Tamandua tetradactyla: one gene and its partners. The protein of the gene in region 2 interacts with the protein of the main gene of each other region in a biochemical or structural test. Links are inferred from orthologs where the notes say so. Each region holds a gene or a part of one and is shown on either strand. Other genes may lie near its edges. The genes, in order: PNKP, XRCC1 and APTX.

Region 1 (7,334 bases), about 9.9 Mb from region 2:
TGATACATTCTCTCTGGGTTTCTGCCCCTGACCCCAGGCCTCAGCCTTTCCCCTGGGTCTCTGCACCCCCCTCTGGGTCTCTGTTCCTTCCTCTACATCTTCGAACCCCCATACAGCCCCTCACCCTCTCTTGCAGCCATACCTGGAAGGGGACCCCCAGCTTCTCCACCACAGCCTCCACCTTGGCCTTGAACTCGTCGGCTGGCAGTTTCCCACGCCCAATGCCCATCTGGTTGGTGAAGATCACCAGCTGGGGAACAAGTGGGGTCACCAGTGTCCCCTCCCCAGGGTCCCCAGCCTGTCCTGAGGCCCGGGCGCTGCACATGCACCGCTTGCTCACAGACACACACGTGTGTGCGCACACACCTTGTAGCCCTCGGCATCCAGCTCACGGAGCTTGCGTGGAATCTCGAGGTACAGCATCCTAGGGTGGGGAAGCGGCAGGGTAGCCAGGAGCTCGGTGGGAGACTTTGGGTCCCACTCCCTCCCTGCTCTTGCCTCTTCTCACCTCCAGTCAGTGGGGCCAGTGGGAAAGACCTTCCCTGAGCGTGTGGTGATGAGAGTCCCATCCAGGTCAAAGCCGGCCACCTGGTGACACCAGGAAGAAGGGAACACAATGTGATTACACTTCTCATCCTCACCCACAGACAGATTCACATGTGTCCATTTTACAGGTGGGGAAACCGAGTCACAGGTGAACATCTTATGCAAGGACACAGTCCCTCCAGGACCCACCCTCACTGCCTCTGAGTGCAGGGCCTGATGTGTCTCTCATTGCTTCTGGATGTCTCAGTATTCCACTCTTTAAAATGGGCATTCTTAGCTTCGTACTCTCCTTGCCCCACCTTCTTCACCTCCAAGGGCTAACAACAGGAATTAAAAACAGGCCAAGTTTTATTTGGGTGCTAACTGTAAGCCATGTGTTTTTCATGGATTCATCTTTTCAGAAACGAGGGAATGGGGGTCCAAGCCCTAAAACAGCATGCTAAGTGCCTTTGAACTCAAGTCTCTGGACCTAAAAATGATTCATCATAATGCTCCTGCCACAGTTCCCAGGTGGCTACCATAGGTCAAGCTGGAGCTGAAAATATAATTTCCCCTGAATTTGTCATGTGAGAACTCTAATGACTTGCCCAGGGGCAGAGAGCAAGTGTGTGTGGGGTTGGGTCCCCAGTGGGGGTCCCTGCAGCCCCAGCTGGGCCTCACCTTGCCACAGGCCTTCACCCCAGGTGCTGTGAACACTAGCAGCTTTTCCAAGTCCTCCCAACCCGGGGATGACTTCCGCATCCTCTTTTTCTGCGGCCCAGAATCCTGCCCCATGGCTGGGGCCACCGGAGGGGTACCCGGTGGAGTGTCTGGCTGGGATCCTGGTGTGTGGGCCTCTTCCCATCGCAGGGTCAGGGGATAAAGGCCATTGACCAAATACAGCTTGTCTCCTACTCCCAGGGTACTCTCCAACCCAGGCTTCAGCTCCTGGGTCCCGGCAGTTGAGGGGTTAACTCCCAGCTGCAAAACAAGAGCGAGGAACCAGCATTGGCTCTGCCCCACCTTAGGAATGTCCTCCCATCAAATGCCTTTGTCCATTGCCATTCAGGCCCTTAAGACCCACCTCTTCACTGTGTACCACCAATTCGGGTTTTAGAAAAGATTTCAAAGGCAGGGTGTAGCTTGGTTCAGTTTGAATGAGGGTAGATAGATAGATACCCCACGGAAACAGGCAGCTCTCTTGGAGTCTCTTTACCGGTCACATCCCACCCTCCCCAGCCCATCAGATTTTCCCAGGAGGTTGAGGCTCCTCCCCAGACCCCGCCCCCCGGCTTTCCGGGGCGGGGGTGGGGTGGGGGCAAGCTGAGGCTCTGGTACCTGTTTCACTGCCACTGTCCGCGTCTCAGGGTCTGCGACCAGCTCCACTGAGGGTTGAGGGGTGGAGTCAGGATTGTCATCTTTGTGTAGTGGAATCCCTCGTTCCTGGGCCCCAGGATTGGGCTGTAAGCACCCTTACCGGGGAATTACTGATTTCTGAAGGGACTGGCTCACGCTTTCACACACGTGATTGTAGGTAGACTGAACCCCCAGGAAAAGGGCGGGTACTTTTCTCGAGAGAACTGGCTGCCTCCTTGACAAAAGGTGTGGCTACCTGCTGGTTCTGGGATTGCCAGTTACCAGCCATCCCTACCAAGCAACCTCCACTTTTCTCCGAAGGGGCGGCTCTCTCTAACAACGCCCGTGGCTCGTGAGCATCCTTCTCTGCCCACTGGTGACCCTGTCCCTGGCGCCAGCCCCCCCTCCGCAGACAGTGTGTGGCCAGCACCAAGTCAGGCACAAGCCAGCTCCAGGGTTGGCTGCGCCGTGCAGTCCCATGCGGCAGGCAAGCGTCTCCCTAACCGCGCCTACGGCCCCTCTTCCCCACCCGGTGGCGTTCCGGCTCTACGAGGCAGGCCACGTCTCCGCCCACCTTGGTTTCTGGAGCACTTCCGGTCGGCGACCTGGGTCAGAGGCCCCCGGCCCAGGACGAGGGTTTGCCCGTCCGAGGGCAGGAAGATGGGAGGTGCCCCACCAGGTGGGCTCTCCAGCCACAGGCGGCCCTGGGCCTCCAACTTGGCCATCCCGGCCCGCGCCTAGCGGGAAGTAGGTTTAAGAGTTTGAGTGGCAGATTTGAGTCCCGCCCTCCGTCCAATTCCACCTCGGTTTGGTTCCTCCCGAAGGCCCACAGGAAGTCTCACCTACCCACAGTTCCCCATCCCAGACCCGCCACTCGGAATCCCCTCCATTTAGCTGCTACCAGCTCCGGAAATCCCACCCTGCCGCGCCATTTCCCAGGCGCTGACCCCCGGCTCCATCTCTCCGGGAGCCGTGACGCCGAGTTGCCCGGACCAAGGCCGCGAGCCTCGCGTGGCGCTCCCGGCCCGCCCCCAGCCTCACCCGTGCGCGCTGCGCGGGCTCGCGCGCCACCTCCCACCTGGGAACTCCCGCCGGAGGCGCTCTGCGGGCAGCCGAGCCGGCCGCTTTTGCTGGTCGGTGGCGGACGGAAATGACTCTGCCACCGAAAGGGGCGGGGCCCGGCCCCTCCCATCACAGCAGCCCCGCCCCTCCTCCTGTCGCTTGTGCCTGCGGTCCCTTCTCAGCTCTGACCTCGTCCCTCCTACTACAATGTGAGATTCAGGCCAGTAGGGCGAATGTGTCCGTTTATAGTTTTTCCTCTCATCATCTTGAACACTTAACTTACATCCTCTTTGCTGGAGACCGCTACAGCGGAAGTAGGTTCTTTCGCATTTGAAGTGGAAGATACCCTGTCACTGACAGCAGCACTAATCCTAGACCGTTCTGATTTAACCGCGATGTTGCACTTTTCTCATTCATAAAGTGCAGATAATCATCTCCGCTTCGTGAATTACTAGATTCAAGGGGTAAATACCCGTAGAGAGCTTAGAAAACGTGCGGTCATAGTAGACCCGGCTACATTAGGTTGTCTATTGCTCGCACCCTTCCCATGGTGCTCTGTTGGGACATGGAGGCGTCATGAGTACTTTGCGGAGTCCCAACTTCGGGCCAGGTACCACCGGCTCTCTTAACTTCTAGTCTTCTTTTGGTAGGAAACCTGCGGCCCCATCTGGCAGTTCCTGCCAGAATCGGAGAATTATGTGGGTTCAGGAGACTGACTCCTAAAAGACATTCGGATTCCAACCCTAATACCCCTAAAGACGGGGGCTCCACAGTCACACAGACCTGGAATCCTCTTCCCCAACCCGCGAATCTCCGTTTTCTTGTAAAATGGGCATAACCCCAACTCCCAGCTTTGTACTGAGAACCAATGAGATGTTGCTCTTTCAGCTTCAAAAAAAGTTTGAATGAACACCCGTTAACACATATCATACTCGTCAGAGGTAAAACTTTTAATCGCAGCGATCCCAAACTCCTTAACCCACCCCCCCACTCTCTCCCCCATACCAGGGCCGGAGAGTGCGGCCCCCTGTCCCCCACCTGGGGTGGACGAGGGCCCTTTAAGGCACCTGTGGGGGTAGGGGAGAGGGGCGGGAGCTGGTACCGTCCTGGATGCACGGACGGGCTTCGACTGGCAGGCTGTTGAGGATGGAACAAATGAGAAGGGGGCCAGCGGGACCAATTGACAGGATGAGCAAAGGCGACCGCGGCCCCAGTAGTGTAGAGACTGTAAATTGGAGGCCGCAAGCCACTCCAGAGCACGAGAGCAGGGTTTGGCTATGCCCTTTAAAGAGCGGAGCTAACTAAGTGGGAGAAGTCTGGGAGAGTGTGGACGGACTCACGGGAGATCGATGGGGTCATTTAAAAAGCGAGAGCCAGTCAAACAAAGGCGCTGCCCGGACATTAGGCGGAAGTGGAGCGCCACTGCCCAATCCTGGGGCTCGACCGCGCTCTTCCACGGATCGAGCCAATGCCGTGTGAGCAAAGCCCTTGTCGCTAGGCAGAAAACGGCAGAGTTGGCCACCTAGGCGCTCAGAACTGGCCACGCCCCCAGCCGAGGAGTGAACCAATCCATTAATAGTCTGTCGCTGGGCGGAAAAAGGAGCGGCACACCCAATCAGGAGACTGGACAGGCCCCGCTCCTACGCCCGCAAAGGGACGAGGGCTGGAAGGGCGGCCGGGTCACTGGCAGGGAGACGTGGGGCGCCGGTCCGGATCCGACTGGGATTGGCGGGCCCCGGGGGCGGGGCGGGGGTGTAGTGTGGGGCGGGGCTGACGCCAGCCCCGCAGCTCGGTCCAGGGCCTCAGTATTTCCGCGTCAGCTTCTGGAAGTCGCTGGTGTTGAGCCGTGGGCGCGGCAGATCCCCGAAGACCTGGGTGTCCTCGGCCTCCCGCAGAACCAGCGCGCGCATGCTCGCCGCGATGCGGTCCAGGTCCGGCGAGGAGGGCTGCGGGGACCGCAGGGAGCCGGAGTCGGCATCCATTGCCGCCACCCGGGGCCCTTTCCTGCCTTCCCACCTCTGCCCCTGTGCTGCCCACCGCCAGGAAGGCCCGACACTCCGCTCAGGCACCGCCTCCGCCAGGAAGCCTTCTTGCCCTGACTTCTTCCCCTTCTAACTTGGACCTCTGTGATCCGCGGTTGCCTGTCGGTCCGCAGTTCTGGCTGCTTCTACCACAGCGGAAGGGCCACCTGTCTGCCGACCGCTGATGAAGCGTGGACCCAGAGGGTCTCATCTCTAGGACCTGAGGCTTGGAATTCGCTCATTTCCCACCAGGGCTCAGCCTACGACTGGTTGCTAACAAGGGATTTCGCCTCCCTAAGCCTCATTCTCCCCCTCTCAAAAATGGGACTGGCACCAGGACCTGTGAGGCTTGAAGGAGAGAATTAGCAGTGACTGCTCAAGAAAAAGGAGCTCTCACCTGCCAGCGCTGACATCCTCAGGGCCCTGCTGGCTAGCCCAAGTGCCAGTGCTGCCTCACCTCCGTTAGAGCCCCTGTCACCCTGAGCTGGGCCTGCTGGATGTGGCCTTCCCCCAGCACAAAAGGAGTGGTGGGAGATCCTGGGAGGGACCAGGGGTGGAGGGTATGACCCCTCCAGTCTTTTGTTTCCCCATCTGGAGGTGATGCCAAGATACTGAGTGGTGGGGGCCATGCAGGTGCTCCATAATGGCCATTCCTACAGGGCACTGAGATACGTCATAAAGTTTTAACAGTTAAAACTGCAGGATTTGGCCCAAGAACTTGCCTGGTGCGGTTGTGTGGAAAATGGTATCCCTGCTCAGTGGATTCCCATGACCATCAGCCTGAGGAGCTTCCTAGGGGAGGCAGCCCCCTGCCCTGTGCTACTTTGCCCCTCACCTGCCCATTTTCTTCATCCGATGACCGTGCCTCTGTCCTCTTCTCCTTGAAGGCCCAGACGGGCACGGATACGGGCAAGGACTTGGCGTACTGCTGTGTGGGCAGGGCTGAGGCCGGAGGCACTGAGTAGGATGGGGGGCCCGCCGGGGTCTCCTCACTCAGGCTGCCATCTGGGAGACAGGGGGTCCTCAGCCTCTGCCCTGGCTTTGTCCCAGCCCCACGACCAGGGGAGACAACCTGGGACACTCACCATCTGTGCTCTCAGGGTCCGACTCGCAGAAAGGGGGCAGATCTTGGAGGGTGGCATCCTCGTCCATCACAAACAGCCCTGCAGATGGAGGCAGAGGCCAGGGCCAGTCAGCTCCCATCATGCCCCATGTGCCCTTGACCCCTCCCTACTTCCTGCGTTTGCCAGACCCTTTGAAGCCTCAGGGCTTCCATGATTGCAGTTCCCTCTGTCTGGAACGCTACGCCCTTCCTTGGGGTATCTGGGTGGTCATTGGAAAAATAAACACAGTATCTATCTTTTACCTTCAGATCAAAGTGACTGGTTGGATTAATGTGAAATTTGCAAAACATGTTTGGGAAGATCTAACTTAAAATACTGACTAAGAGAAATATGGGTCAATTATGATCTCAAATGCAGACCCAGAGGCACATAGAGGTCAACTCACTTACCTGAGGTCCCACAGCCACTGAGGTCCCAGTGGCATCACTGGAATTTGAACCCAGGCCACCTGGTTCCAGAGTCTGTACCCTTAACCCTATGGGAGTCTTCTCCAGCAACAATGAAGAGGCCAGCCATTGGTAGTAACAGTAACAGAAAATAGTAACTCCTATATAGTGAGACATTTGCAAACTCCTACACACTCTTCAAAACCCTAGTCTTATAACCCAGTTTCTGGGAAGCCTTGTATTTCAAAATTCCCCCAAAATAGCTGTCTTGCCCTCTCTCCTGGCTTTCTCAGCTGTGACTGTACTCCTCACTCCTCTTTAACTCCTATCTTTGGCCATTTAGGCATTAACAGCCCCAGATGCGGGAATCACTGCCCAGTACTTGGCAATAAGGAGCTGGCCTCAGAATACCAGTATAAGGACTCTGAAGCTCAAAGAGGGAAAATGACTTGCTTAAGGCCCCACAGCCAATGGAGTCCCTGGCAGGCCTGTCCATCCTGCCAGTCTCTTCCATAGACCAGCAGGGCTCACAGACAAGCAGTCCTCCAGGCAAACCCAACGGAATCCAAACCTTCCCGACAATCACACCGCCAGCTCTGTGCCCCTCTCACCTCCGCTATCGCTGATGTCCAGCCTCTCCCCTGATGTCTCTGTCAGCTCCTCCCCATTCTCCTCCTCTTCCTCCCGGGCCGAGGGAGGCTGGGGGGGGCTCCGATCGGGGCTGGGTGGCTGAGGTGCTGGTGGGGGCGCGGGAGGCCGGGCAGCCGCAGCCGCCCTGTGGGCCTGGGCAATGTCGTGGAGGCAGTGGCGTGCGGCCTCCGCCAGGGCCCCCCGGCCATGGGCGGCATAAGCACAGGGGC
Region 2 (7,806 bases):
TAGTGTGTAAAAATTTCTGCCTTACCATTGATTTGAAGCAATCAAAATCAGCCTTCAGCAGGGAGTGAGTCACAGCTAATACTGGCAACCACCAGAGGCCATCAGATTTTCCGGAGGGTCTCGGATGTGGACCAAGTTAACAAGCGCTGAAATGCTGGAGGCCCTGCTTCTGCCACTGCCTGCAACAGTGTGTTCTCAACATGGGAACCAGACGGAGCTTGGGTAAATTTAAGTCAGATTCTGTCCCTCCTCTGCTGAGAACCCTCCAGTGGCTCCCATCTTAGCATAAAAGCCAAAGTCCTTGCAGTGGTTTTCCAGGCAGCCCACAAGTGTCTCTTCCCGGGGAGGCCTTCTCTGACCCTCTATTTAAATGAAAACTCTCAGCACTCACCATGGTCCCGTCCCCTGCTGAGGGACTCCCTATTCCTCTCAAACTACTTAATTTCCCTCCACTGCATTCATCATCTGACTTAAGTTTAATTACTGGTTTGTTCATCAATCTTTCCCTACAAACATGGAAGTCCCACAAGAACTGAGATGGTTTTTGTCCTGTGCTGTTCACTGCTATATAAACCCAGCACCTAAAGCAGTGCTTGGCCTAGACAGTGCTGAATAAATATCTGTTGCATAGATGAATGAACAAACAAACAAATGAATCCATTCATTCCTAAGTCTGCCCCTGTACCAACAAGCCCCTTCCGTCTCTGGCTCCACATCTAATCCCTCCTTGTCTCCTGGATGCCGCTCCATGGATATCCCAAAGTCACATCAAACCTGGATGTCCCATCTAAACATATCACCTTCCCAAACTGCCCCCTCTCTGGGTTTCCCATTTCAGTGACAGCTGCACCTTTCCCCTCAGTCTTTCAGGTCACAGAATCCTATGCCTCATCCTAGCTCCTCCTGCTCCCTCACCTTCCACGTACTCTTTCCTGCCTGTCTATCTGCTCTCACTACAACAGGCACAAAGGACTGCACGTGACTTCCCTGGTATCACCCGATCAGAAGAGAGCCCAGCAGCTTTACGTAAACACCTGCATGTTGACAGAGCACTTCTGCAGACATTATGTCACCGAACTGTCACAACAACCCTAGGCTTAGATCTTATTATTCCTAATGGACAGATGATAAAACAGGTTCAGAGAAATAAAACAATTTGCCTAAGGTCACAGAGTGAGCAAGAGAGAAACTTGAATTCAGGTCCCAAGACTAAACTGTAAGCAACCTGTACCTCTTTCAGTTTAAAACATTTGACTCTTGGGCAAGTTGCATAACTTCACTCAGCTTGAGTTTCCTCATCTGTAAAATGTGAACAATAGATCCTAGGTCATGAGGTTTTTATGAGGAGTCAATGAGTTAATTCCTGTGAGGTGCTTAGAACAGTGACTGCCAGGTTGTAACACTCAATAAACGTTAGCTCTCATTTTTACTATGCAAAGGATTCAGGAGATATTTAAATTCCCCAACTCATTTCGAATATTTTGTAAGTCTGTGTTATTTTCTGGGAAGAGAATCCTCAGCTTCTATCAAATTCTCAAAAAAACCTCTGTGACCCCAAAATTTTTTAGAATCAGCAAGCAAGACAGAGAAAGAGAATACGATCAGAATCAAATGCAATCATGCAAGTCCTGCCTGACCTCCCCCATCGCTCCCCCAAATACCCCAACATTCAGAACTAAGGAATGTGGCCCAAATCAAGAAAGCTAGAGAATACAAGGCAGTTGGCAAAGTGGTAAATAACACCAGTACTCAGGTGTGAGTTCAAGTCCTGCCTCTGTCATTTATTGCTAGTGACAACTTTTGTGATGACTGAATCCATATAAAACACCTAGCCAGCAGTAAATGCTTAATATGTATTTAGCTCTCTTCTCCCATAATTTTCTTATCCCTGACAGGAACAGCCTGTTTGGAATTGTGTAACCATTTCAAGTCAGGCCACCCTTTCCTCCCTCAGGTTTGCCTCCCTCTAACCTCACAGGATTGTGGCCTGGATTGAGAGTATGAGCAAAAAGTACTCAGAAAAAACCTGGCCAGCATTTCAGTTCACTTCCCCCCACCCCCATATTTCAGTTTTCCTATCTTGAAAATGGTCGTTGATTGGCTTAGATGCGCTCAGGGACATCTTCCATCCCTGAGCCCACTGATTCACTTTGTTCGGGTTGAGGAAACCGAGACCCAGAAAGCAGGAGCAATCTATTGGGGCTACACACTGATTCCTATGGTTGTCCCTGGCCTAGTCCTGGGGATCCTTCTCTCCCCTCCTGAGGGGTACCAGTACCATGCTGCCCATTTTCCTGGTAAGAAAGCTGAGGCCCAGAAGAGAAAGTGACTCAGCCCTTGAGCCAACTGGCAGTGGGCTGAGTCACTTTCTCTTCTGGGCCTGGACCCTGGGTCTCCAGACTCCTAGTGGGGGGGGAAGGGCAGGGTCACCTGGAGGACCACAGAGATGGTCTTCTCGCCTGCCTTGGCAGCCCGCCATTTTCGGTAAGTGTCCGCCTTGAGGAGGTTTTCTGCACAGTGAGTCTGGGGGCAAGAGTGGAAAATGGAAGAGTTAGGACACGGAACCGAGGGCCAGACCCTCTCAAGACCTTTGCTAGTTGTCAGATAAGCTCCCCATTAATCCCCCACTCCTGCCTTGAATTCCCCCTGCAACCTTTTGCCCTGGAAGTTCACCTAATTGCTCTCCAAGGAACGCCCCTATTCCATTTTTTCTCTCCGGAAGTTCCAGAGATGTCCGGAAATTCCCCTATTCCTCAAGTCTCCGAGGATTCACTTACAGCATCCTGGAAATTTCCACTTGGCCCTTCTTAGATTTCCCTCAAGTTCCCTTTTAAACCCAGAAAGTTCTTGTGGAGCCCCCCTCCCCCTAGCAATTCCCACCTCCCCCACGCTGGCCCTCACCGAGTCCTGGCTGCTGCAGGACACCACATGGCGGAGGCGGATCTCCGGCATGCCAACGTCTTGGACTTCGCGGGGCCTGAAGGCTGAAGGAGGGTCGGGGTTTGGGTGCGGGGAGGGGTTGCTCCTCCGCGCTGACTTCAATGCGCACGCGCGCCGGGCTCGGGCCTTTCAAACTGCGGCGCGCCGGCACGCGCGTCAACAGCGCGCTTGCCCAGTCGCGCCACTCCAGTAGGCGGTGCTGAGTTTCCTAGCAACGAACTTTTCTCTAGTCCCGCCTCTCTCCGGCCACTCCACCCTCTAGTCCCGCCTCTTGGTGACGTATGCACTTTCTGGGCGCCCAGCAACAGGAGCAGCCTCCAAGATTGGTCCCTAGTAGAAATTCGCCATTCTCATTGGGCGATGCAGTCACCACGCATACTGAAGCCTAGAAAGCCAGACAGCAAAACCCGACTTAGAGTGTCATCTGGAGTCTTGGCTTCCGCGGCTGCATCCCACCGTCTCCCCGCCCCTATAAAAGCCTAAGAGCTCTTTCAGGTTATGCCTGAGACCACAAGAGAGTAGGTCACAGATCTAAAACACAAAGCATGCACTCACCCAGCCTACAGTGTTTCCACCCTTGCCTCAGTTTCCCAATATGTGGCCTGTGGGCATCAGTCTCCTACCGCGCCTGGCCCTGGCCGCTGACAAGCATCCCTCTGTTCAGTTCCCGTGTGCAAGCATGCAGCCGTGGGCTGAGTCGGAGCCGGCGATAGTCCAAATACAGAAGCAGGTGAAGGAGAAGGGAAGGGAGACAAGGCTCCCGGGCCCCCGCAGAACGAGCCTGGACACGCTGATGCTCCCGCTGGCGCTCCCAGGTGGGGCCCCACCCATGCTGGGTGCCTCCTTGGAAAGAGAACAAAGGAAGAGGGAATCCCAGACCTTGAAACCGGTGCAACCCCCCCCCCAACCCCCACCCCGGGGAATCAAATACTCCATTCCGACCTTGGGCGTCCAGCAAAGAAAATGGACTGTGGGAATGTGAGAGGAAACAGGGCAGTGACCTTCTGGGTCCTGATGGAAGAAAGAGCTGGAAGTCTAGGCCACTAGGGACCTGTGGAGAAGGGGCTGGACACCAGATGCCCAGGTCCCTTTTGGACTTGGTTCCGCCTCCCGCACCCCAGGGCTGGTGAGGCCTGCCCTGCGCTCTGACCTCAGCTCCTTCTTGCCTCAGGGTGAAGGTTGGCCGGGCCGCCCTTCCTTAGCGTCTTATAAGGGCTGGGGACCCAGGACTGCCTGGTGACACACCATGAGGCCATCGGAGAGTCCCAGGACCTTCCTGCTGGCCTTGGCGCTGCTCTGCACTCTTCTGGGCCTTGGTGAGTTGCTGGGGGCCTGGATTCAGGACACCCCCAGGAAAGAGGGGACTGTGGAAGAGCATTCAACAGGGTCTTTAAGGAGGAAAGGGGAAGTATCTTGAGAGCTCGGATTAATGGAGGAGGCTAAAGGAAGAGAAAGCCTGGAAACCCCAAGGGAAGAAAAGCTCACATGATTGAATCCCTGAGAGGAAGGGGCTTGGTGGGCCCTGATTCTCCTGTACCCCAGGCAGATCCCAAAATAAGACATGAGAATTCTAGGAAGTTAGATAAGAGCAGGACTAGAAAGAGGAATCTAATTTTAAAAACAGAAAAGACCAAGAGACTCCCTTTCTCCCAGGCCACCAGCTCCACTTTCTCCAGGAGACACCTGGGCTTCCCTCTCTCAGGCTAAGGGGTCCATGTGCCCACCCTTCCAGAGGTCATTCTCCCTCCTTAGCCTAGGATGTAGACCCCAGCCTCAGGTACTGCTACCTGAGTTCCTGTTGACTACAAGACCTCCAGTTGTACCTGCAAGGGGGAGGGTCTCAAACTGCAGAATCACCTGTTCCTGAAGCTTCACAAAAGTCCCTGGAAGCCTTCGCCACGCCCCTCCAGCCCCCAAGCGTTCTCAGAGGACCCTAGCATCCAAAGCCCCCAGCCTTGTAATTAGGTATCTAGGTTCTGTGGTGGAGTCGTTTCCTGCCCCTGGAAGCAGCTTGCAGGCATCACCACTGCGTCCCTGTCAGGGCTCTGCATAGTTCTCTGGACAGTTCCTTGGACCAATGCTCCGCCCATGAAAAACCTGGGAGATGGCAGGACCCTCCTTCGTAAGGACCAACAAATTGTGCCCTCTGCCCTCGTCTCCCTCAGGGCCCCGAAGTGGAAGTCGTGGTTCTCAGACCTCGGCTACAGTCCCGCCCTCTCCCCTGCAGGGTGCCCACTAAGCTGTGAGGTGTGTAAGGGCCCCGGGCCCACGTGCAGTGGAAAACTGAAGACATGCGAGGCAGGCAAGGATGCCTGCGTGGTCATCGTGGGGGAGTCCAGCACAAGTAAGAGGGTGGGCGTTGGACCAAAGGTGCCATCAGGGTAGAAACAAGATACCATGTGCTGGGGGGTGGGGGCGGGGGAGATGGTCATCACTGTCGTGGAATGAGTGGCGCAGGAAGAAAATGTGCAGGAAGAGGGCAAGAATATCTCGAGGTGGAGGCAGAAGAATTCAGTGGGGCATCAGAATCCATTGTGGTCAGGGATTTCTAAAAATGAGACTCTCCAATAAGGGAGGAAGAAGTCTATGGGGGAAAGAATGCAGGGTAAATAAAGAGACTATTGTAGATGGGAGGAGGTGAAGGAAGAACATAGGGAGACAGAGAAATGATGAGAAGGGAAGAATCTAATAAGCTAGCGAAAGAAGAGGGGAGAGCCCTGGGGGTGAGGGGCAGTCAAAGGGTCAGAGAAGAGACGATTCTAGAGGAGATGAAGGAATCAACCCAAATCCCCTGGAATCACCCCAGGGATGGTGAGGGTGGCATGGGCTGGAAGAGAACATTCCCGGCAAGAGGAGGAGAGACGGTGTTGGGATTAGGGGAAAGTGAAAAGGACCACCACGATCGGAAGGGGGAAGATAACCACGAATTATCGAACAAATCATTATAGAGAGAAGTAGAGATGGGGCAAGTGCGTAGGCTGGTGAGTAAAATGTAAGGGACAGGAGGTGTGTGACTCAAGTGGAGACCATCCTAGACCTGAGAAGCCATGGGTGGTTGAGATTGCAGGGGAAGAGACCACTGGGGACCTTCCTCACAGGAGTGATAATGGGGCAAAGTGTGGGAGGGAAGACTGTGATGGCAGGTGAGGGGTAACTGAATGCAGGAAGAAACCAGCCCCACTGGAGGGAGAGAGGGAGAAAGGTGGGACTGAAGACTGCGCCCATCCCATCCACCCAGCAAGTGTTGGGGCCTGGGGGACGGATCTGAAAGGCTTGAAGAGACCACCCCAGACAGATATAGGAAAAGAGGTTCTGGGAGGCTAGGAGGAAAAAAACCCTATGGGCTGGCGCCTAGAGGGAAAACCTTTGGATTGGGTTGGAAAAGACCACCATGGGTCGGAGAAGGGGTAGGCTGTGGAGACTGGCAGAGACCACCCTAGACAGAGAGGGGGATAGGTGTTGGGGGAGTGGGGCAGCAGCCCAAGGTTTGTTGGGCAGAACCACCCCAGGGTGTGGGGGGAGGATGAAAGTCTTGGAGGATGGAAGAGACCACACCACAGGGACAGGGGAGTGGCCATACTGGCCTGGCAAAGACAGCAAGGTGCTGGAGGAGAGGATGGCCTTGGGGTGGGTGGGAAGGGACCATGTCAGGCAGGCAGCAGGGATGTTTGCAGTAGAGGACTGCAAGAGACCACCAAAGGAAGACTGGGGCAGGGAATGTAATGAGTAGAGAGAGCTACCTAATAAACCACTCCAAACTGAACCCTAGGCAGACAAGGGGAGATGATTTGGGGAGACTAGAAGAGACCACTCCAGGCAGAGAGGGAGGTATGGATTGAGGAAGCTGGAAGAGACTATCCCAGGCAGTCGCAGGGCAGGGAGATGTTGGGTTACGGGAGACTCGAGGCTAGGGTGGGGTCAGCTAGCGTCGCTGAGCCGGCCCCACCCCGCAGAGGGCCAGCAGTCGGTGAACACCTACAAGTCCTGCATGAAGTCCAGGGACTGCTATTCGGGGTTCGTGTCCACCACCATGGGCCCCAAGGATTACATGGTGTCCAACGCCCGCTGCTGCCAGAGCGACGGCTGCAACCGCGACACCGTGCCCCGTAAGTGCCCGCCCAGCGCGGCGCCGCGAGCAGTTTCCAGCCCCGCCCCAAGAGTCCGCGGTTTCTGGCCCAACCTGCTGCTGTTCGGCTCCGCGGCGTCGGGAAAGCACTTGGCTGGCTCAGAGCTTCCGTGTCCACACCTGTACAATGGGTTGTACAATGTCCCTTAGCATCCGGGGTTGTCTGAGTTCAGGAGAAGGGCTTAAACGGTCACCCCACTCTCACGCCCCCAGCTCCCCAGAACAATCGCACTGAGAACGGGCTCCACTGCCCCGCCTGCATCGCGCCGTTTCAGGAGACCTGCCCCGGGACCCAGGCAGCCCGCTGTGTTGGCCAGGAGACCCACTGCATCTACTTTGCTGGCAACGTGCAGGCCGGTGAGGGGACAGGGGCAGGGGAGCTGGAGGCTCAGACTTCCAGGTACCAGGGGAGGAGGGGGGTCCTTAAGGTGAGGAGGGGGCTGGTGGCTAGGACTCCTGGGTGGTGAGGAATTGGGGCCTGGAGGCTCTGACTCATCTGCAGTCCCCTTTCCTAGGTATCATCAGCCCCAAATTTGCCACTCGCGGCTGCGCTACAGAGAGTGCCTGCTACACCAAGGTTGGGGCGGAGGTGCCCTCCGCCTCCTATCTCTACCTACTCAGCAGAGTAGACTGTGTACCTGCATCCCAGCCCCCCGGCAGGGCTGAGTGAAGAAATGAAGATATGTGGCTTGAGGCCCTCATTTGTCCTCAACCTGCAGCTCCCCAAAAGTCTATCAATT
Region 3 (7,712 bases), on a different chromosome or scaffold from region 2:
AAAAAGCAAAGAAAAAAACAATAATAAAAAACACCCAAACAAACAAAAGAAATGACCTTCATATATGGGCAACTGGGCCATGAATTTGTCTCTAAGCTAAAGCCTCATTGTATTCACAATTCATGGTGTCTGTAAGAAAAAACAAACCTGTTACTCTGGAGAAGTGAAACTATTCCTGGAATTGGGATCTGATTGGAATGTCTCCCAGGGGTGTTAATAAAGAGAACATTGTGTGATATGAAGAGCAGTGTCCTTGACAGCATTCCTAATGGGGTGACCAGTTCACAGGGATGCCTCTTAACAGCCCGATGGCTGCACACCAAAAGGCAATCCAATGAGTTAAAGCCAAGCTTCAGAGGTGGAGGACTGTTTTGGTGATCATGACTTAATAGCATTTATTTTTTTATGTAATGAGGGTCACATTTCATTCTTTTTCCAGGTGAGTATCCCCTTATTGCAGTAACATTTATTCTTTTTTTTTTTTTGAAGGGGGAGTAGTGCATGGGCCAGGAATTGAACCTGGGTCTCTCACATGGCAGACAAGAATTCTACCACTGAACTATACTTGTACCACCTCCTTAATAACATTTTATATCCAGCCAGTACTTAGCACAGTAATTGTCGTATAGCAGGTGCTCAGAAGTGTTTGTTGAGTGAATGTCAAACCCTGATTACCAAGATCTGATATCCTGCACCCCAACTTTGCACTCCTTTTGTAGCTATCAGGCAATATGAAGGAATTAAAGTGTTGGGTTAAACTGCCATTTCAACATTTTTATGTTCAATTTATTATGTTTTATCCAAATATGGGTGGGAAGTCAGGAGGTGAGGGATATGTGTGTGTATGTGTTCACATTTTTCTGGGTGTGGTAGTGGTGGTGTTGGGTGTGGTAGTGGTGGTAGTTAGTCAAGAAAGTGTGGTAGGAGAGGTTGGTTGGCAAGTGATCTTGAGAGCACTGCTGGCTTAGATCTTAACTCTCACTTGCAAGCTGTTCCTCAGAGCAGAGGCAGAACTGGTAATGGTGTCAAGTTGGGTAATGGGGTCAACTTGGCCAAGTGATGATGCCCAGTTGTCCGGTCAGGCAAGCACTTCCCTGGCCTTTGCTGCAAGGATATTTCATGGCTGGTTGTTAAACTGGAAGGCTAGTGTATTAAATCATCAGTCAGTTGACTGCATCTGTGGCTGATTACATTTGTGATCAATTATGGCACAAGTAAGGATTGTCTCCCACAACATGACAATCCAATCAGTTGAAGGCTTTTAAGGAAGAAGAGAGACCCTTTCACTGCTTTTTCAGCCAGAGAGCCTCTCCTGTGGAGGTTGTCCAGACCCTTCATCAGAGCTGCCAGCTTCATAGCCTGTCCTACAGATTTTAGATTGCCATGGTTGCATGAGACACCTTTATAAATCTCATATTTACAGATATATCCTGCTGGTTCTGTTTCTCTAGAGAACCCTAATACAGTGGGCCTTTGTTATTGGTCTCTGAGCTAAGCATCAGCGAGGCCCAGACACAGGTCACAGTGGTACCAACAGTAAAAGGAATTCAGTGCTGCACTAGCAGCCCTTAGATGGGCCTTTCCTGACCCTGCTACCAACCTCTCCCCCCAAAACTTTTTTTTTCTCAAAAGAGGTGTTCCAGCTATTCTCTCCCCTACAACTGTGTACTTTTCCTTCTTAGGACTTATTACCAATTGTAAATCTGTGCATGTGAAAGTAATGACTGTCTTCCCCACTAGACTGTGCCACAAGGGCAGGGAGTGTGTCTGTTTTGCTTACCTGTGCATCCAGAACATAATAGAATCTCAATAAATATTTGTCAAATAGAGGAACATTGAAATACAGATTCTAGCATTTGTCTTGCCCATATCAGTAATTTACCTTGACATGTTAATAAATTATACTTTGATGTGTACCTGAGTCTCATGTGAGTTAGATAGGTAAATCAGTCTCAAAGGGCCTGACCACCCTAAGCCTAATATTAGGAAGTCTCCATGAGCAAGTCTTTGGACTAGACCACTGCAGCCTTCTCAGGCTCCAACTGCACTTCCTTTATACCAGGACTCTCAAAATCAAAGGCATTCAGGGAGTCAGATTATATAAATAAATGGATGGGAACAGTGGCAAGTTGAAGAGCACATGGTAGCCACTCTCAGTCCCAGCTGTTTGTTGCCAGAAGTTGCTAGATTTACTGATTTTTTTCAAGAGACCAGGAATCCTGATTTTCTTGTGAGATCTAATTTTTAATTGTTGGAATAAAAAATAAAACTCCCTGAGCAGGCCAACAGAACACATTTTGAAGGGCACAGTTTCAAGCCTTTTCCTTCCATCAGTGAACCTCAAATTTGAGGGGGCATCGGGATAATCTGGAAGGCTTTCAAAAAATATTTTTGACAAATCTTCACACACATACAATTCATACATGGTGTAAATCAGTGGCTCACAATATCATCGCATAGTTGTGTATTCATTACCATGATCATTTTAGAACATTTACATCACTCCATAAAAAGAAACAAAAAAGAAAAAACTCATACATCCCATACCCCTTACCCCTCCCTCTCACTGACCACTAGTATTTCTATCTACTCAATTTAGCTTACCCCTTATCCCCTCTATTATTTATTTCTTTATTTTATCCATGTTTACTCCTCTGTCCATACCCTGGATAAAAGAGCATCAGATACAAAGTTTCCACAATCACACAGTCTCACTGTAACAGTTATATCTTTATACAATCACCTTCAAGGATCAAAGCTACTGGAACACACTCAACAATTTCAGGTACTTCCCTCTAGCCACTCCAAATACACTGTAAACTAAAAAGGGATATCTATATAATGCATAAGAATAACCTCCAGGATAACCTCCAGACTCTGAAATCTTTCAGTCACTGAAACATTATTTTGTCTCATTTTTCTCTTCCCCTTTTTGATCAAGAAAGGTTTCTCAATCCCATGATGCTGGATCCCAGCTCATCCTGGGAGTCTTGTCTCACATTGCCAGGGAGATTGACACCCCTGGGAGTCATGTCCCATGTGGAGAGGAGGGCAATGAGTTCACCTGCCAAACTGGCTTTTAGAGATAGGCCACATCTGAACAACAGAAGAGGTTCTCTGGTGGTGATTTGTAGGCCTACCGTTAAGTAGGCTTAGTCTATCTTTATAGGAATGTTTCATGGGGTTGAACCCCAAGATTGAGGGCTCGACCTATTGGTTCTGGAGGCCTTTTTAGAAACAGATTGTTGGGCCTCACCCCGAGTTTCTCAATCAGTAGGCCTGGGGTAGAGCTCCCAAATTTGCATTTTTAACAAGTTTCCAGGTGATGCTGATGCTACTTGTCTTGGAACTACATTTTGAGGGCTACTGCCATAGATAATATCTCAGAATACTCTCTACTCATTTTTATATATGTTTGTGATAAATCATTTTGCTTCTGGAGTGGTATCTATGAATCTCTTAAGTGTCATCACCCATATATTGTACCATGACCCTCCTTTCTTGGCCACCACTGCACTTTAGACAGTGGGCTTGATCTAACTGAAGCCATCGGTCTGGGACCTGGGAGGTGACCCAGTGTGGGAACTCTGCCTGATTTTTCACATCTTATTGTGAATAATACAATTAGAACGATCCCATCCCGGTTTTGAATGTAAGATACACAAAAGGCAGGGCAGGTAGAAGCAGAGACAAAGAGAAGCTTAATTCTAAGGGAAAAACAAAACTGGCTAGGTCACCAGAGTTGTTGCTTTTTATCTCAAGCACTTGTGAACCCACCATTAGGCCTGACTCGGTAGCTGAGATGCATCCGTGCCTCCCCACTTCCTTAGGCGACCTTAGTTTAAGCTTGCATTTCCTCTAACAAGAGCAAGTTCCTCTTTTTGTTTCCTGTAAGATCCTCCCACCTTCTGTCTTGATGACTCAGTTGTTTTCGCTATACTGTTGAGTTTTTGCTTCTATATGGAAGGAAACAAATTCCATCTCGACAAAGAAGCCTCTTATGGCTCAGTTTTTATCTAAGATGTTTGAGAAAAAATTAAAACAGCATGCCTTCATCCCTGAAATAGGGATTTCTCTACCTGACAAAATGCCTTGGAACAATTGCAAAACCTGACTCTGAGGGAACGACCTGGAACTGCTGTAAAAATCTGTAAACATCTCATCCTAGTATTCTGTTTCTCTACTCCCTGATTGCTCTTCCGTCAGTTCATTACTGAAGATAGCACTAAACAAACGAACAAAAAAAAAACCTCTAGCAGGTTTCCCTGACTCTCTTTCTTCCTTTCCTTTATTCCCAACAAAGGGAGAAAGTATACTATGGCTAAGAAAGGGAGAGAAGCAATTTCACAGCAGGTACCAACAGCAGAAAAGAGAGCCTCAATGATAGCGTCACCTCACAGGAGTGCAAAGAAGCTGCACGGCCGCCTGGAAACGTGGAACCTGCACTGGCCGCCTGAGGTCTCTTCCAGTTTAGACTGAGGGTGGTGACAGGAGAGCGACCCCCGAGCACAGAGGTGCCGCGAGAACTCCGTCTTCTAGGGACAGTTGCCAGGTTACCCACGTGAACCCCGGTCGACTGCTGGACGGGTTGGGGAGGACATTTCCCAGCCCGGGCTTGGGCGAGACTTTCTCAGCCAATCCTCAAAAGGCTCTGGTGACGCCACAGGTTGCGATTGCAGTCTCGTGACGTCATCCTGCAGCGCCGGAAGCTGTGCGGCCAGATGGACTGCTGTGAACGTGTCCATCTCTGCCATCTCGAGGTAAGGCGGTGATCGGCCTACCTCTTCTGTTGAAACCTGCAGGATTGGGCCTCAGGCTGGGGCCGCTCTGCCCCCGAGTAATGTTCCTTGAATAACGCTCTCACGGCTTCTTTCTCGGCAAGCGTTGCCCCATCCTCTGGCTCTCCGGAGAGCTCTTGTGCTCCGTTTCAGCGGGGCGGTCACGTTGGTCTCCGCCCTTTGTTCATATGTGCTCCGGATACCTGCACATAGCTTAGTCGCAAAAAGGTTAGTTAGAGAGTGAGTCCTTTCCTACCTAAGGAGGTGGTTCAGCTTGTTAGGAAGTGTTGTCCGCCAGAAACTCCCTGAAAGGAACTTGTTTTGATACCTTGAGGGCCTTCAAAGGAGACAGTGCACATCGTAAATAAGTGTTCTCAACAGGCATTACAGGAAGCTCAGAAGAAGCAAGTCTTTCTCCAGTGATAGAGATTTCAAAAGAGCAGCGATATAGTTTCCATTTGGGATTAATGTGGTCTAGGTTTAGAACCTTCTTGAAGTTTGCCTTATATTTGGAGTCCTATAGAATACTTTGGGAATATATTTGAATTGTGATTGGTCATAAGGGCAGATCATTGGGGTTTGTGTCCTCCCACCTTAGTTTGCAACGTCTGTGCTGTCTGATGGTCTTTTTCACAGGACCTTAACTTCTGCTTTCATCCAACCTTAACTATTAATAAGAATTATAATGGTTTTAAATGCTTTTTGCCAGACACTAAGCTTTACATACTTTTTCATTTTAATTAGCCCTTGTGATAACCCTGTGGTTTAGAGCAGTTACTGTCCTTTTACAACTGAGGAAGTAAAGTCTTAAGAGCAGTTAAATAACTTGCCTCAATTCACACAGTGAGTGGGTGGTGGAGCTAAGATTTGAATCCAGGCAATCCGACTTCATAGGCCTTGATGTTAACCATTGGTGTATGTTGTTTTGTCTTCAGTTGTGCATTAAGCTCCAAGCATTTCACTCTGTTGTTACTTTAACTGGATTGGGGAGAAAATTGAGGTCATCATATTTTTCTTTTGTAACAGAAATTAAGAATTAACAAATGATTACTATTACCGAATCATTACGTGCATGTTTGTTTATCTGTATTGTGGAATAGGTAGCCATTAATACCTGAGATTACTGAAACTCAACTAGTCTCACCTTTATTTACAGTTACTATTATAATGGTTATTCTAGCCTAATATTGGCCCTGTGTGTACTTACTATTTTATAATATTAACAACTCCATCCCTCACTTGTTTGGATTCATAAAAACCCTGAACTCCTTAGACTCCAGGAAATAGATTTTTTGGGTGGATAGGTCATTTACTCTCCTGTGTCACACTTACCATTAAACTCTTTCTCTCTTTGAAACCCTAGTGTCATAAATTGGCTGTTGTGCACATTGGGTAGAGAATCCACTGCTTTTGATTGGTATCACTTTCAAATTCCCGCTTCTCCCTTCCCTTCTTACAAAGTCATCTGTTTTTGTAGCCATCGTTACATTACTGTTAGTCTTCAAGAATGAGTGAACTCTTTTTTATTATTTTTTATCATAACAATCATTTTTTTAATGAAAAATAACATACATACACAAAAGCAATAACTTTCAAAGTGTATCACAACAATTAATTGTAGAACGGATTTCAGATTTTGGTATGGGTTCCAATTCCACAATTTTAGGTTTTTACTTCTAGCTGCTCTAAGATACTGGAGACGAAAAGAAATATCAATATAACAATTCAGAAATCATACTCATTTCTTAAACTCTACCTTCTCTGTATAATTCCACCATCACCTTTGATCTTTCTCCCACTCTTTAGGAGTATTTTGGCTATGCCTATTCTAACTTTTTCATGTTGAAAGGGGCTGTTGATAATATGGGATAAAGAAATGGACCTGATTGGTGTCCTTGAGAGGCTGGACCCTCTGCATTTCAGGACTTACCTGGTCCAGGGACCCATCTGGAATTTGTGGTTTTCTGGAAAGTTACCCTCTTGGATGGAACCTTTGTAAAATCTTATATAATGCCTTAGGTATTCAGATTGGCAGGAGTGGTTGTGGTTGTGGTTTGTCAAGTTATAATAGGTAGCAATGTTTAACTAAAGTTTGCCTAAGAGTGACCTCCAAGAGTAGCCTCTCGATTCTATTTGAACTCTCTCAGCCACTGACACCTTATTTATTATGCTTCTTTTCAACCTTTTGGTCAGGATGGGATTGTTGATCCCATAGTGCCTGAGCCAGGCTTATCTCTGGGAGCCATATCCCATGCTGCTAAGGAGACTTTCACCCTGGATGTCATATCCCATGGAGGGGGAAGGACAATGATTTCACTTGCAGAGTTGGCCTTAGAGAGAGAGAGGCCTCATCTGAGCAACAAAAGAGGTCCTCTGTAAGTAACTCTGAAGTATACCTATAGGTAGGCTAGGCTTCTCTGCTATATACATAAGCTTCTCAAGAGTAAGCGTAAAGATCAAGGGCTTGGCCTTTTGATGTGGGTGTCCCTACTGTTTGATACAGTATCAGGCGTTTGAGTGGATTCTTTTGATAAAAGAAAATCCCTTTATCTTTGCTTCTGACTTTTCTTTTACCTTTACCTGTGAGATCTTGTTTTCATTTGTTTTTCTCTCCCTTACTGTCTTTACCCCAGTCAAACATAAACAAAGAAATCAGGCTTTTTTAGATCTCTTCCTATCCTCACCTCAAAGAGAGAGAAAAAAAAGAAAGAAAAAGTCTTTGGTCATTGTTTTGTTTGTTAAAGCTGCTAGAACACAATATACCAGAAATGGGTTGGCTTTCGTAATAAAGGGAATTTATTAAGTCACAATTTTCTAAGGCCATAAAAATGTCCAAACTAAGGCGTCCACATAAATACGCTTTGACTCAAGGAAGGGTTGATGATGTTCGGGTTTCTCTGTCAGTTGGAAAGGCTCATGGCCACATCTGCTAGC

The links.
Region 1: the proteins of XRCC1 (region 2) and PNKP form a complex in vitro, tested with the Homo sapiens proteins (3 studies listed by BioGRID and IntAct, with this or other methods). The link is inferred for Tamandua tetradactyla from reciprocal best matches to the Homo sapiens genes XRCC1 and PNKP.
Region 3: the proteins of XRCC1 (region 2) and APTX form a complex in vitro, tested with the Homo sapiens proteins (2 studies listed by BioGRID). The link is inferred for Tamandua tetradactyla from reciprocal best matches to the Homo sapiens genes XRCC1 and APTX.

The regions. Positions count from the first base shown.
Region 1 is NC_135342.1:11,291,739-11,299,072, reverse strand, and holds the start of PNKP (bifunctional polynucleotide phosphatase/kinase), read right to left. Parts: upstream 3,054-7,334; 5' UTR 2,960-3,053; intron 2,619-2,959; 5' UTR 2,607-2,618; coding exon 2,456-2,606; intron 1,911-2,455; coding exon 1,864-1,910; intron 1,787-1,863; exon of another isoform or gene 1,507-1,786; coding exon 1,207-1,506; exon of another isoform or gene 948-1,206; intron 938-947; exon of another isoform or gene 675-937; intron 660-674; exon of another isoform or gene 589-659; coding exon 509-588; exon of another isoform or gene 425-508; coding exon 367-424; exon of another isoform or gene 251-366; coding exon 143-250; exon of another isoform or gene 137-142; intron 1-136. Other genes in the region: AKT1S1 (proline-rich AKT1 substrate 1), read right to left, coding at 4,746-4,889, 5,800-5,969, 6,050-6,127, 7,086-7,334. UniProt on the Homo sapiens protein: Plays a key role in the repair of DNA damage, functioning as part of both the non-homologous end-joining (NHEJ) and base excision repair (BER) pathways.
Region 2 is NC_135342.1:21,214,291-21,222,096, reverse strand, and holds the start of XRCC1 (DNA repair protein XRCC1), read right to left. Parts: upstream 3,092-7,806; 5' UTR 2,953-3,091; coding exon 2,902-2,952; intron 2,524-2,901; coding exon 2,431-2,523; intron 1-2,430. Other genes in the region: PINLYP (phospholipase A2 inhibitor and Ly6/PLAUR domain-containing protein), read left to right, coding at 4,187-4,256, 5,168-5,284, 6,894-7,046, 7,280-7,423, 7,582-7,736. UniProt on the Homo sapiens protein: Scaffold protein involved in DNA single-strand break repair by mediating the assembly of DNA break repair protein complexes. Negatively regulates ADP-ribosyltransferase activity of PARP1 during base-excision repair in order to prevent excessive PARP1 activity.
Region 3 is NC_135328.1:62,891,057-62,898,768, forward strand, and holds the start of APTX (aprataxin), read left to right. Parts: upstream 1-4,693; 5' UTR 4,694-4,760; intron 4,761-7,712. UniProt on the Homo sapiens protein: DNA-binding protein involved in single-strand DNA break repair, double-strand DNA break repair and base excision repair.